2 linked regions of the Alligator mississippiensis genome follow. The protein of the gene in region 2 interacts with the protein of the main gene of each other region in a pairwise test. Links are inferred from orthologs where the notes say so. Each region holds a gene or a part of one and is shown on either strand. Other genes may lie near its edges.

Evidence for each region.
Region 1: the proteins of CCND3 (region 2) and RBL2 interact in a two-hybrid assay, tested with the Homo sapiens proteins (2 studies listed by BioGRID). The link is inferred for Alligator mississippiensis from reciprocal best matches to the Homo sapiens genes CCND3 and RBL2.

What each region holds. Positions count from the first base shown.
Region 1 is NC_081833.1:48,731,430-48,739,403, reverse strand, and holds the start of RBL2 (retinoblastoma-like protein 2), read left to right. Parts: upstream 1-4,965; 5' UTR 4,966-5,043; coding exon 5,044-5,250; intron 5,251-5,560; exon of another isoform or gene 5,561-5,765; intron 5,766-7,617; coding exon 7,618-7,748; intron 7,749-7,974. UniProt on the Homo sapiens protein: Key regulator of entry into cell division. Directly involved in heterochromatin formation by maintaining overall chromatin structure and, in particular, that of constitutive heterochromatin by stabilizing histone methylation.
Region 2 is NC_081837.1:39,028,680-39,036,009, reverse strand, and holds the start of CCND3 (G1/S-specific cyclin-D3), read left to right. Parts: upstream 1-4,320; 5' UTR 4,321-4,456; coding exon 4,457-4,654; intron 4,655-6,769; coding exon 6,770-6,985; intron 6,986-7,330. UniProt on the Homo sapiens protein: Regulatory component of the cyclin D3-CDK4 (DC) complex that phosphorylates and inhibits members of the retinoblastoma (RB) protein family including RB1 and regulates the cell-cycle during G(1)/S transition.

The DNA.
Region 1 (7,974 bases), on a different chromosome or scaffold from region 2:
TGGCTCTGCTTGGAACAAAATCTTACTCGGCTCTTCAAAACATGTCTGAGTTGTTAAGAATGCAAATATGCTAAGGTGACAGAGGCAGAGACTCAACCAAAGAAATTTTGTATAGTTTTGTTGAAGTTACTGAGCTGATAACTTATCCTAGTGAAGGGTCTGCCTGTAGAAAATATTGTTTAATTATGTGTTTTGAAGGTAGGAAAAGAATTAAAATACTAAACCTTGGGGAAAAGAAAGTATTTCCATCTAGACTTAAATATAAACAATTAGGAGCCCTCTGTTCAAAATGAGTTGGGCTGAGCAATAAAACTTGTGTATATTAATACCTCCATTCAAAATTTTTTGTTCCCTTAGATTACTGTGTTTTGGCTTCTGTAATCTGTTGGATAAACATTCCTGAAATACTGTGGAGTCTGTTTTCAGTTGATTTAATCACTGATAGGTAAAATCACTGCTGCCAGAGCCTCCAGCTATGCTTCTTAGAATGAATCAGAAACTCTGTGGTATGACTTCACTTACCAAGAAGCAGGTTTAAAAAAAATAAGACAGACAGACACCACTCTTCTCTCCTTGTGTTGACTTGTTTTTGTCCTAGTCCTAGAATCAGAGAGCCCTTCCTCAACCTTTTAGTTTTCTTGAGTTCTTCCAGATGGAAAGAAAATGCATAAAGTGGGAGAAGAAAGGGATACAAGAAGGAACAGATATTCTTGGTCACATGTTCCAGGTGCAACAGTTAATTCTCTGACAGCATGACTTGGTTCCCTGCCTCTTGCCCAATTCATCTTTGATCAGGCATCAAAGGTGCAAAACCCTCATGTAAGTGAACCAGATATGGTCTGCTTTGGGCCTCCCTCTTACTGCCACCTTAATTTTTTTTTTATATATAAATAAAACAGTCTCCCTCATATATATGAGGGAGAGGGAGACTGTTTTAGATAATTCATTGGATCTTTTCTGTCAAGGTTTAGGAGTCTTGGGGTAGGGCACTTGCTTCCACCAACACCTGCTAACTGGCTGCCTCGCCTCAGGCTTTGTTCCTGATGAAAGCTGATTACAGGACAGTTTTGATTTACTGCTGTGCAGTTTGTTTCCTGCTGTCTGATCTCTGCTGTGCCTGTTCTAGCAAAATAAATTGGAGATCAGTTCTGTCCTTCTGGGAGCAGCTTTTAGTTTAGTTGTGTTTAATGTCAGCAGCATCCTGGTGTACTAGGACTCAACCCATCTCCCTGGGCAAAAATTTTGAGATTCCCTTTGGCATCAAGCCTGCCACCCATTCAGCTTACACTGCAATTTCTCCATTATTTCAGCCAATCTAGCTATATCTAGAAGTGGATAACCAGGCAGTTGTGAATTAGTTGTCTTATTTCTCTTCAGAACAACTTCTGATAACATTTGATGCATCTACACAAGACGCTAAATGCGCAATTGACTAATTCTACTGCACATTAGTGCATCGCGGCAAAAGCCGTGCTAATGCACAGTAAAATTAGTCTACTAAGCATTACCATCACTAAAAAGGTGTGTGGTGGCACTACTGTATAGTTACACTAGTTGCTGCACATCAAGTTAGTACCTGTTATTACAAGTACTGAATTTAATGCACAGTAACTATGGTGCCTTAATGCACGGTAGACATGCCCATTCCCAGTTAGCTTAAGCCCAATGGGATGTAGATAAAATTAGCAAGAGGTCTAGAAAACAACCTTGTCAGTGAAATTTAACTTTGTTACCACTGTGTTCAAAAGGTTTGTTTAATCTGAAGTGGAAACCAGAAACAGTATAACACACAAATCCTACTACTCAGTGCTTAGTTACTTACTCCTTTTGAATACTCTTTTAAGTAACATCATTCCATGTACTCACAAAAGCCCTTTTCAACAAATGTTCAGCAGTAATGCTTCTGAGCATTTCAAGGAAGGGAGAAAGTATTTGTATTTCAGTACCACTTAGAAGCTCCTGTCTCAAACCAGGGCTTCATTGATTTAAGTGGTGTCTACATTGGGTATTTTTCTGTAGGCAGTAATACTGGTAGCAGAAGTTTGTTGTTCACAAGATCTGTGATAGAACTGAAAAGTGAAGGAGAGGTAGCAGAAAGCAGTTGCATAGAGTTAATATGTTAAAAGATATTTATTTTAAGCTGATTTCAAACTGAATAACTTCCGATAACATAAAAGCAAGTTATTTTTTCAATGGATTTAAATTCTTCATGGGGGGGGGGGAAAATTCAATGAATTATGTATGAAAGTTTTCTTTGTTGAAAGTCTCCTCTGAACATGCAGTACTAAATATTTTTCCATATCTAAAAACCAATAGGATTAGGGCTGTAAATGGAAGTTTAATCATTTGGAGTAGGGGTGCTCAGTCTCTGGCCCATGAGTCAGACATGGCCCACGGAGCCATCATATCTGGCCCACAGAGCTGTCCATGGGGTGGGAAGTTTGGTGGCAGGGAAGCAGTGGCCATTAATACAGTCACCCTCACCTTGCCAAATTCCCAATCCCCAAACTGTGCACTGCACTGCACTTCACAGCCAATCCACGACACCTCTTCCACCTTCCACATCTGGATTGGTGGATTGGGTCGGGACCATACTCTTTCCCCCTCCCCCCCCCCCCTTTGCAGAGCTGGTTTGGGGCTAAACCACACCCTTCCCATGTCCTCTCCTGCCTGCTGGGTCAAGCCCTGCCCGGTTTACTCATGGGGCTGGGATGGGGCCTCCCCCACACCGTGAAGCCCCCCTTTTCTCTATGGGGCCAAGCAACACTCTCCTCCTGTGTTGCAGGATTATAACTGGGCTGCCCCCTACCCCTTCCACATGGCTGGATGGTGTCCACTGCACCAGTCCCAGTGCTGGATCACTGGCAGGATCCAGGCCATGAACAGACACAGGGCATTATTCTTGCTGGACTCCCACAAATGTGATCCTTTAATAATTATATCAAAGGTTTTCCCAATAATAGAGATAAGGCTAACTGGCCTATAGTTACCTGGATCCTCCTTCCTCCCTTTCTTGAAAATAGAGGCCACATTTTCCCTTTTCTAATCCTGTGGGACCTGACGAGCATCATGAGCGCTCAAGCAATCGTGCCAGTACTGCTATGACACTGGCCAATTCCTTCAGCTCCCTGGGATGATCATCTGGGCCTGCTGACTTAAACACATCTAGCCCCTCCAAGTGTCCCTTCACTAAGTCAGCACTAACAGTTAGTGGGCTGGTTTCCCTCCTGTGCTCATCTACAATCCGGTTGGGAGATATGTCCTGATTCATGGTCAGGAATACAGATGCAAAAAACTCATTGAAAAGCTCAGCCTTGTCCCTCCTATCTGTCACTAATTGCCCTAGTCTGCTCTGTAGGGGTCCTATGTTATCCTGCGCCGCCTTTTTGCTCCCTATATACCTGTAGAAGGACTTTTTGTTGTCTTTAATGTTTGTCACCAGCCTGAGTTCCATTGCTGCTTTGGCCTTTCTCACTGCCTCCCTGCAAGTGAGAGCCAAGGAGGTATACTCCTTGGTAGCTGCCCCCTGCTTCCATAGCCTGTATGCCCCTTTCTTTGCCCCTAGGCTTTCCTGGATTTCCCTGTTCAGCCAAGAGGGTTTCTTGGCCCCTTTGCCCCCTTTCATGCGCAATGGGATTGTCTCCTGCATTTGAAGGATCGTTCCCTTTAGGAATAACCACCCTTCCTGGACTCCCATCTCATCAATGCCCCTGATCATCAGTACCTTGCTAACTAATTTTCTGAGCTTATTGAAGTTGGTTTTTCTGAAGTCTAGCACTTCTGTTCTGCTGGTTATCTTTCTTGAGCCAGCTTTCCCTTAAAATGAGTAGGAGATGAAGCTGGCCAAAACTGCCATGGACTTGAATGAACATGATGCTTGGAATTACAGATTTGAATCTCAGTAAACTTTAGCAAAAATGGCTGATTATTTACCTTTCATGCTCTTACTAATACAGTGCCACCTAGCGTTTGTGAAGCAGATGAAAAATGTCACTGGTCCAGATTTTTGGATTGTTTCAGGTACCTAAATTCCTTCCTTTTCCTCCAGTTTTTGTTCATAAACTCAGCCATGGCTTTCATAATACAATTTTAGCTGTGAAACTTTATTATCAGAAAACCAAAAAAAGATGCGTGCATAGTTTATATTTTCTCTCTCAAGAGCCACAGCAGAAGTCTTAACTGTTCTTGACTTCCTGTAATGTCTATTGTGTGAATATTTCTTCAGTACAGAAGACCGAGAGGAGCTCATTTTTTCTCTTATCTCTGTCATCTGTGTTGAAAGACACTACTGATTTATAACACAGTCACGTCTCTACAAACAGATCCATTTGTTCATTTCACGCTGCACGGCAGGTACTGGTGCCTTTAAATCACTCTCCAGAAACCGTCTGACTTATCAGGTAGGCTGCCATGTTCAGAGACACAGACCCTTCCGTAGGGTGCTGTGGAGAGCGGTGCAGCGCGCAGGCGTGCTGAGTAAGACAGAACAAATGAAGTGATATTAATAAAAAGGACAAGGAAAGGTAGAAGAAGGGGATCTACTGCGACCGTGCAAGGGAGATAGGATCTACCCACGCTCAGCGTTGGCCCAAGGGAGGCCCACGTGACCCCGCTTCGGTTCCCTCCCGCGCTCATTTGCATACAGCCTTCCCGCCCCCCGCGGCGGCGGCGGCGCGCGCAGGCCGGAGGGGGTGACGTCACAAGGCCGTGGAAGACGCGGAGTCAGGCACCGGAACTCCGCCCTACTGGCGGGGGTGGGGACCAGCTGCGAGAGCATGCCGGGAGTGACAATCCTATGTCGGGTTTGGGCGCAGGGAAGAGGGTCTGGGCAGCCGTGGAAAACGGAGTGCGCCTGCGTGAAGGGGGGGACTGCTGATTGGTAGAAGCACCCTGCCCTGGCCAATGGGAGGGCGAGGCGGGGGCGGGGCTCAACGCCGGGGGGTTAGGATTCGAATGCGCGTCGGGAAGCCCCTGGCCGGGCGCAGGCGCAGTGCGAGGCGCGGGGCGCTGCCCCCTAGCGCCGGGGCTCGTGGCGGAGGGGAGATGCCGGGCGAGGAGGAGGAGGAGGCCGAAGCGGGGCCTGGGGGGCCTGCGGCCACCTCCCCCGCGCCATGCCCGTCACCGCCGGCCGAGGAGTGGGACACGCGGCAGCGCTACGAGGAGCTCTGCGGCAGCCTCAACATGGACGAGCGCGCGCGCGCAGAGGCCTGGCTCAGCTACCAGGGCATGAGGCGCAACTACACCCTGGAGGTGCGCGGCGGCCGCGCGGGGCGGGGCCCGGCTGAGGGGCAGGGGAGGGTTTCCGGGCCCCTCCCTCCCCTCCTCTCGGGCCTGAGGGGCGGCGGCGCCCCGTGGCCCTGCCTTTGGTCCCGTCAGAAGTGCGCGGAGAGGGCTCCGCTGCGGCCTGTCGCTGCATGTCCCGCTCGGCCGCGCCTCGTGCCGGCGGAAGGGTTTTGTGGCCGGGTGTAACGACGTGTGGGACCAGAATCAGACCCCCGCCCCCCGGAAGGGTAGCTGGGGGATGAGAGGAGCAGCCCCTGCAGGGGTGCCATAACCAGACCTGGACCCTCAGCTTCTTTCAGGCAGCCTAAAATCCAGGCACGATGCATAGCCTGGGCCCCGAGCGCCATCTGCTGCGGGGTCTCTGTCCTGGCTGCGCCTGTGGTCCCAGCGTCTGAGATCCTCCAGGGCTCCCATCGTGGGTGCCTGCTGCTTGCCAGTGCAGCGGGAACCCAGGATCAGGCTCCGCCTACACCCGCATGATTGGATCTAAGCGTGATCCCGTAATTGCACCTTTTGCCACGCATGTGTGGCATGGCAGGTGAAATTGTGTGGATCGCGTTGGGTTCAATCATGCCGTTACCCCCAGGTGTAGAGAGAACCAGATATTTTTATATCCATTTTGTGTGGTAGCACCTCACAGCTGGCAGGGTGTTCTGCGCTGCATAATTTCCTAGCATGGCTCTAAAGCGATGTAGTCATCTTGTATGGGTGACAGAACAGACTGACCAAAACTATATTCCTTCAGAAAACACTAGGCTCTCTTCTCAGAGCTAGGTAGTGTCTTGGATCTATTGCCTTTGTGACTGACTGAGTTACAAAGTACTGTAGAAGTTTGAAACTTGACCAAGTAGGAATTTCTTAATTCCTTAGTTTCTAATTGTTGATTTTTATTGCAATCAACCTAGACAGTCCAACCTGAAAGTATTAATCCACAGTTCTTCTGGTAGAAAAAAAAGGAACGTACCCGTGGTGGTAATACTTAATATAGTTAAATTCAGTGCATGTCTGCGTGCTTGTGCACACATGTGTATTGTTTATCTAAATAGACAATCATTCCATTGTATAATATGGGTAGAAGAGAAGATAGTTCAGGGAATTATATCCTGGCTAGAAACAGCTATTTTATAATGATCGTGTGCTGGAAAAAAAATATACAGGCATCCCCCGCTTAGTGCCATTAATTGGTTCCAGAAAAACTGAGTGTTAAGCGGAACTGCGCTAAGCGAAACCACTTTCTCCATAGAAATAAATGTAAATAGAAATTTATTGGTTACTGCCTGCCCCACTGCCGCCTCTCCCCCGCCCACCTGCTGACACTCCAGCCCCACATACCAGCCCGGGCCCATGCTCCTGCCTCCTTGCTGGTCTTGGCCCTGGGCACTAGCACAGGTCCCACGCTCATGCCTGCCCCCACCCCCCTTGCTTGCCCACTGGCCTCTCTGGCCTCATGTGCCGCCCTGCTCTGGGCACCGGACCCTGCCGCCGGGTACCAATGCGGGCCCTGCACTCCTGCTGCCCCACTCCGGGCACAGGTCCCCACTGGCCTTGGCTCCAAGCAGTGGTGCGGGCCCCAGGCCACTCACCTCTGTCGCTCCCCACCCCCCTGCTGAACCTCCGATGGAGTGCCATCATGGGCACTGGTGCTCTTGCCGCCCTGTTTTGGGTGCAGGCTTCCACTGGCCCTGGCACGGGCCCCACACACCAGCACAGGTTCCACCCCAACCCCAGGTGCAGACCCCTGCCAGCCCAGGCACCAGCTTGGGTCCCACGCTCCTCCCCTCTTTTGCAGCCACTTGTCTCCACCCACCACACCTGCTCCTGCACCATGTGCCTGGGCCCAGGCTTCTGCCATCCCACCCTGAGCCCTCATGCCTGCCTACGCACTCACTGCCACTCACTCACCTCCCACTCACTGTTGTCGCTTCCACTTCTCCCTGCCCTCCTGCCTGCTGAAACTCCGATTCCACTGAGTGCTATAGCGAAACTGGCTGAGCGCTCAGTGGAATTGGGAATCAATTCCAAGTGAGCACTATAGGAAAATAGTGCTAACTAAAACCGCATTAAGCAGGGGTTGCCTGTAATAGGAATACGCTGGAATTTTGGCTTAAATCTGAAGTGTAAAAAAAAAAAAAAAAAGTTAAATGGCTCTTCAAGTCATTTTGATGTTACCCAATTTGAACCTGTATCTTGTATAGCTGAAATATGGTTCATTTCGGTAGACCTTTTAAATACTTAACACCCATTCCCTTTAAATGTACCGGGCATTTGTTGTAGCTAAAGTAAATGAAAGTCTTCCAAATGTATGTTTTAGAGACTTAATATTTAATTTTGCAGGGAAATGAACTACATTGGCTGGCATGTGCTTTATATGTGGCTTGCAGAAAAGCAGTCCCAACCGTGAGCAAAGGGACTGTCGAAGGAAACTACGTATCTTTAACTAGAATCTTGCGCTGCTCAGAACAGAGGTAACCTCCTCCCCTCCCCCCCCATGTGTTTGCACTTGTAAAATATAAAAAAAACTTTATTTCAGCTACAGCCATTGAGAATGAAGGCATCTAGACATTGAAAATGAAGAAAAATAATAATAATTTTAACTCTTAATACCTGCTTTTGGACACAAAGTATTTAAATGTCAGTGCCTTTGTAACATCACTTAACACTATTATGAATTAGTTTATCATAATGAAACAT
Region 2 (7,330 bases):
GTATTAATAACTTGATGGTCCTATCTGTGTAGCTAAACCAGGATTATACTGATATAATTGGGTTAGTTCACAATCCCACCCTAGTATGGAGTAGGCCTTCTTCAGCCAGCTCGTTGCATCTGCTAAAGGACATCTAAGCCTTGCTGAGGTTCTGTTCCCTTCCCCCTCCACATGATATCACCACAGATTAGTTATTTGTACTCAAGTTTGACCAAGTTAAAGGAAACAGAGTGCAATGGTTGCCAATATTAAGAAATAATATTAGGAAATACATCCCATGTGTCAAGACTGCGCTCAAGCTAAACTCTCACTGCAGCAAATGGAAATCTTTCCTAAGAAAAGGATGATTAAGTTAGGAAAAGGACTTCAATGGGCCCTTTAAGGAGGCAGCTGTTTAAGCAGGGTGTCAGGAAAAGGGATTTCTGGGTTTTGTTACCCACTGAACTGCTGTATGACCTTTTTAACTCCTCTGTGAAATAGCATTCACTTCCATAAAATGGACAGAATGTCTACCTCCGGAAGGTGGTGTGGGTTCTTATGTTTAACTAATTCAGATTTCTACAGTGCTTTGAGATCCCAAAGTGAAAAGTTTTGGGGGTATTTCCTACAGCATCTTTTGTATAGATTCACTAATTTGTGAGAGTTTGGTTTTTATGTCTGATATGTAAGTTAATTAGTTTCATTATGATATTACCGATGATGCTTTAGTTGCAATTTGACAGAAAAAAACAGTTTCACGTTGACAGTTCAGAGCTGGGTAGAAGATGGCTGCAAAATATAAGACATCGGAAAGGCAAAAAATGCATGGCTGAGATATTACAATTGTGTCTATGGACAGATGTCACGGGACAGATCTCAGCTGATGCAAATCAGTGTTGCTCAGTCAACTGCGTTACGCCAGGTGAAGATTTGGCACAAAGTGCCCTTGTTATATGAACAGCTTCTATATCACTTTAGCCTTCTTCCTATGACGGTCTGAGCATGAGTTTGATACCAGCTGAGAATCTGATCCGGTAGCCACACTGGCCCTTTAAAAGCTCCTAATCTTGGTGACTCTCTTAAATTCATCATCAGCATACCGAAATAATGATCCCTCTTGGTGATTCAGCAAAGAATAACATTGCTGGTCTGAGATCCTGTAAGTCTAGAAACCCTCAATTTTTTTCTTTTACTCTGAAGGAATTTCCTTTTTTTACATTGCTGAGTTCTCTGCTACTGAGGCCAGGAAGTTGTCTATCTACAGTCAACAGTGACCAAAATTTGGTTTTCCTGGAATTCTCTCCCTTCCCTCCACACACCCACACAACAGGCTTTTCAGGACTCCTGCAGTCTGTAATTTGCCTTGCTAGCCTGATAATGTGGTTGCAGAGGCATCAGTTTTGCTAAGTCATCATCTGGAAGGAACACTTTCTTATGCCACAACCTTCATTTTTTCCCTTATGTCCCCTGTCTACCATTGAGCCTGGCTGCAGCATATTCCTAACCGGCCGAATTAAAACCACCCATGTGGACAGTGAGAAATGTGAGAGAGGCCATTGTGTCTGGGGTATGGCCTGAAACTTTCAATTTCAACAGGCACAGTCCAGACAACACAGGGACCCAGAATCCAATGGGTCCGATGCGGTTTTCCTTTGCTTGGCTAAAGAAAATATGTTTCGATCTATTTTTACTGCAAAACATGGGATTCAAGGTCCTTCTCTTTGCTTGTACAAAACAAAAGATGCTGCCCACAATAAAAGAATGGGGGACATCCTGGATTAAATTCAGCTGATTGGTCTACAAAAATCTCTCTCATGGATTCTTCAAATATTTTGTGTCCGCAGACCTAGGAGGCTTTTGTGGAATGTGAAGAAAAGTTACAACAGGAGGTAGCTTTTACAGTTCTGTCACCCACTGAAATGCCTCTTTTTTCATTTCAAGACTGGGGTTGAATCGGTGTCATTCAAGCCTCCACGTTTTGCTCATCCCTCTACTCCTGTTCCATGTTACCTTGCTATGGGATTTTTTTAATGCAATCAGCATTATAATGCTATGACATTGGCATCTTTAAAAATGACTAGATCCCATAAGTATAAGAGATGAGTACAGAGAGAGGGATGCTGAAGGTCCTTAGGAGAGGTCATTCAAGCTCTGTGAGTCTGGATTGTAGGAACAGAACCTCGCCGTGTGAATTGCATCAAATTTGTAAAAAATGAGAGCATTTGAAAGCTTTGATTTAAAAAGAATATGGTATGTTCTCTTTTGACTGTTCAGATTAAAGGTTTCCAAAGAGGACAAAGCGCCTAAACCAAGGAGTGCAAAAAACAGTTCTGTTCATTCTTGATGAAAAGGTTGTGTTTTTAAATGGCTGAAGAAGCACAAAAGTGTGAGGTGCCTCAATGTGGTAGTGAATGCAGATGGGGATAGATGGACAAAAAGGATCAACCCAGACATCTGCTAGGTCATTTCAGTTTCTGCCTCCTATGATCCCATGTCCATAACTTGTAATTTTAGACACATTTCTAAGAGTACAGGTCACAGTGGATACTCCATCTTAAGACACTGTGCATGACATTGCTTCCAGCACACCCATGTTTTCCATGTAACCCATTTCTCCCAAATGTGGAGGCTTGAATATACATATCCCAAGGCTCCAAGCTTTTGGCCACACTGATCTGAAGGCATCTGCCACTTCTCCACACACCAAGAGTGGACCTTGCACAGTAACGCTGCAGTATGAATTGCTACACGTGACCCTTTGCAAAACTGCATAGTAGGAACTCCTCGTGAGGCATTTAATCCTAGACCGGATAAAGGAGTAGAAAATATGGTAGAGAACAAGATTAAGCTGACCAAGAGTATGACTTAGATCATCTAGAAGTGATCTTCTACCACCAACATCTTTAATTATCTAATTTATTTCTTGCTTCAAATTGCTCATGCACTTGCCATATGACTGCATCATATAGCAGCAACCTGATAGCAACCAAGAGGCTCATACAAGATGACCATTCCCTTCTAACACCGTCCCTTTCAAAATCAATAGAGCAGTTTGCAAAAATTGGCCCTTTGAGGTGACATTACCCAGATTCATTTTCAACCTAATGAAACTGTTTTTGTCATCTTTAATTTTTCAAGCTTGAAGAAACTCCCTTCAGTTGTTTTTCTAATACTGTAACTGTGACAGAAAAATATGTTTTACTATCCCTGTTCTGAAGAGAGAGAAGAATAAGTGGACAACTGCCTCAGGCACTTCTTTAGCTGTTAGGAACACTTGTATTGCAAAACCATTATTCCATGGGGTTAAAAATGCCAGTGCCTTCAAAAATCATATCTACTCAAACTCCCAGCATTGCCATCTCCCATCATAGAAAATGAAGGTCGGGAAGGCACCTCAGGAGGTCACATGTAGTCCAACCCCTGCTCAAAGCAGGACCGTCCCCATCTAGATCATCCCAACCAAGGCTTTGTCAAGCCAGGTCTTAAAAACCTCCAAGAATGGAGAGTCCACCACCTCTGTGGGGAGCCTGTCCCAGTGCTGCACTAGTGTTAGCAATGCCAGGGCAGCTTTTATGGAGGAAAAAGCCAGGTGCAGACAACCCTTCAACATACATGCAGCTGGTTATTCTCAGAACATCGACGGATTGTGAACAAAAATAGCTACAGAGTTAAATATGGAAGAGAGAATAATAGAAATCAGACATAAAAGACTGAAATGGGAACTCTTCTGAAACCTCCAGGATTTACCCGTTTTTAACCCAGTGAATCGGTATCCCGCCATCACAACTCAAGAGCTTTGCAGATCCTGCAATGTGATGGTATGACATTGTGGCTCCAGCAGACCACATGGCTGCCTAGGTAGGACAATACCGAAGAAGGGCAGTCAATATAATGCACGCTCAGAAATTGCAACGGCTGTAAAACCCCTGCAAGCTAGTCCTTCCCATGGGTTTTTCAGTCCAGTCCCTCTCTTTCCTAGCCCTCTGAGCTAGGGGGCTCTGCGTTTGAATGGATGAGACTGATGGGTGGCATTCCTGCACGCTTTCACGCCCCCCACCCTGCACCGGGGGGGGTGCGGGGGGCACCCCTGGGGCAGGGGGAAGCCAGGCCCCCCTCCTCTTGGCAGGGATCAAGGGCTGGGGAAGCCCTGGCATCCAGGAGCCTCGGGGCCGGGGGCAGCCGCCTCAGACACAGCAGCTGCCCACACTACAGAGGTGACCGAACGGGGCTTGCAGCTCCCTGCCCCCTCCCCTGGGGGGCGGGGCCCGGCGCGTCGCCCCGCCCACTTGGAACGTTGCAACTTCCCGACGTTCTAAAAAGCGCAACAGTGGATCCGGCACTAGCAGTGCCGCAGGGGGTGGGCTGGGCTGGGCTGGGCTGGGCCGGGCCGGCTCCGCGGCTGCTGCGTGACCGCCCGCCCGGCCGGCTCCTCGCCTGCAAGCCCCCGCTCCCCGCCCCTGCCCCGGCCCCCGGGCACATGGAGCTGCTGTGCGCGGAGGGGCCGCCCCGCGTGCCCCGGGCCGGGCAAGACCCTCAGCTGCTGGGGGACCGGCGGGTGCTGCAGAACCTGCTGAGCCAGGAGGAGCGCTATACCCCGCGGGTCTCCTACTTCCAGTGCGTGCAGAAGGAGATCAAGCCCTACATGCGGAAGATGCTGGCCTTCTGGATGCTGGAGGTACGGGACCCCCCCTCGGCTGGGTCCCTGCTCCCTCCAGCTCTCTGTGCCCAGCCGCCGGCAACTTTCCAAGCCTTTGCCCGTCGGGGGTGGGAGCCCCACCCCGGCTTCCCTGGAGCCCAGCTCCCTGGGGGGAAGGGTTTGGGGGTGCAAAAGGGGGGCAGAGCTCCACCTTGGGGCCTTGCTGGCTGCAGGCTCAGCTGGTGGGAGCAGGGGGCATAAAACCAAGCCCCCCTTTGCCCTATGGGGTATAAGCAGCTATAGAGAAGGTGATGGGCAGCAGCTGGGATGCCTCCCCTCCCTCCATGAGCTGCAGCAGGCAGGGGGGAAGTCCTGCAGGCAGTATGTGGCAATGCCTCTAGGGGTCCCCCTGCTCCCACCTCCTCCCCGCAACCGCTGCTGAAAAAGTTCCCTGCAGCATGTGGGGCCTTTGGATGTGCCTGGTGGATCACGGGCTTGGGCCCATCACGGAAGAACTATAATCCTCCCTTAGGAGGGAGGCCGCAGCGGACGCATCGGGGCAGCTGAAGAGAAAACGGGGATGGGAGTGAGGTCCCAGGTTTAAAACTAGTGGTTTGATGTGGGGGAGTGCGGAGCAGAGCACACCGGACAGTGCTCTGCAGCGTGTCTAAATGCTTGGAGAAGGGTTTGTCAGCGCCCAGGGGAGAGCTCAGCTAGAAGATGCCAGCCACCCACTTCCCCAAACACAAAAGCGAATGCAGCCCCCACCCCGCATGACTCACCTGGACAAGGAAAGGCACCAGAGCCACTTTTCCCTTGTCTTAATTAAAGAATGAAACGCCTCAATTCAGAAGCAAATGGGAGATATAAAATGTGGTTGAATCCAGCCAGTCATTCTCTCTACCCCACTGACTGTTGCCACACAGTACCCAGTTACCTTTAAAATAAAAGAAGTGCTCAGCACTGCCTTTTCTATCATTGTTCTGTCTGTTAAAGCCCCTTCCCTTGCCATCGTTTCTTGGCTGGAAGCTGGGTTGCAGCCTGATCCTATGAAGTGCTGGAGTCAATGGCAGCAGAGGGCCCTCAGCTTCTCGCAGGACTTGTCCCAAAGAAACGTCAGTCCCTCTAGCTTCTGATTTTAAAGTGTTTGAGCAATTAAGACCAAATCCAGGTCCTATTGAAATCAATGGCAAAACTTGTATTGACTTCAGTGGCACCAAGATTTAACACTAATTTTTATGATGATGATGATAATTTTATTTTTTCATTACAGGGGGGAAAAATGCAAGCAAAATTAAACCTCTGAAGTATGAGCCTGACTTTATTTTTTAAAGAGAGTCTCTGTGCTGGGGGTTTATGTCAGCCTGTAAAAGGTACATAGGGAAGCAGAGTTAACATTTGAAAGAGAAGGATGATATTAGTTGCGGCATGAGGGAAAACCTCAGTATTTTTGTAGCTACGGTAAAAGAAGGAAGTACATTTGATCAGTGTTTCAGTGGTATAGTCTTGTGGCTAGGATTGAAATTCAGGACTCCTGGATCCTGTATTTGACCATGATACAAGTATGGTATGCACAGAAAGGAGCTCGGAGCTTGGGCAACTTGGGTTCTCTGCCATTGACTTTGTGACATTGGACAAGCCACCTCATTTGGGTACCATCACCCTGAGGTGTCCAGCTTGAGACATGCTGGGACTCACTTCAGAGGTGCTGAGTCCTCACAATCGGTGTGAGCAGGAAGTGATCAGGATCACTGGTAATCGGGCTATAGGCATCTCACGTCAAAGATGGAGGCAGTCACAAGACCTTACACTTTTATACACACACACACACACACACACACACACGATTGTGGTCTCAACCTCTGCCTCCATTACACCCATGCTACCATTTTTCCTGCCTGCCATGTAAAGACAAGTAGTAGTGTTTGAAGGCATCGGGCTAAACTCTGTGCTCGTGTCACACATGAAGTGTTGAAGTTACAACAGCAGAGAATTTAGCTCTTACTATTTAAAGGTCTTTCTGATCACCAGATATACAGCTGTACAGATGTGTAGTGTACTGTAATAATCAGAAGCTTTGAAGTCCTGCTGCAGATAGAAGCTGCTGAGTTCTGCACATCTAAAGCCTCCTCTCTTCTACTTGGGTTTTGTTAGGTATGTGAGGAACAGAAGTGTGAAGAAGAGGTCTTCCCCTTGGCCATGAATTATGTGGATCGCTACCTATCTTCAGTCCAGACGCGGAAAAATCACTTGCAGCTTCTAGGGGCTGTCTGCATGCTCCTGGCTTCCAAGCTGCGAGAGACCATGCCCCTGACTGTGGAGAAACTCTGCATTTACACAGACAATTCCATCACGGCGCAGCAGCTCCTGGTAACCACCCCACCCTGCCTGATAGAGCCCTCACCTCACTCCCTGCTCTTTATACCCTCTAGGTGCTGCTCCCTGGCAACATATGTGCATTGTGGATCCTGTCTTCCTCCTGTTTCTCCCATTCAGCCTCTTTGCTTCCTAACCCAAGTGGACACACTGCCTTTCTGAGATAGACCAGCACCCTTCCTCAGACCTGCCCCCCCTGCAGATGTAGTGGTGGTCTCCCATTCTGCCCGCTAGATGCAGAATTGTGACACTGAAGTTGTAGAAACCATTCTCTATGCTTCAGTGCACATCCCATCATTGAGCCTCATTGTGTCCCATGTTGGGCTCTGTGCCTAGCTT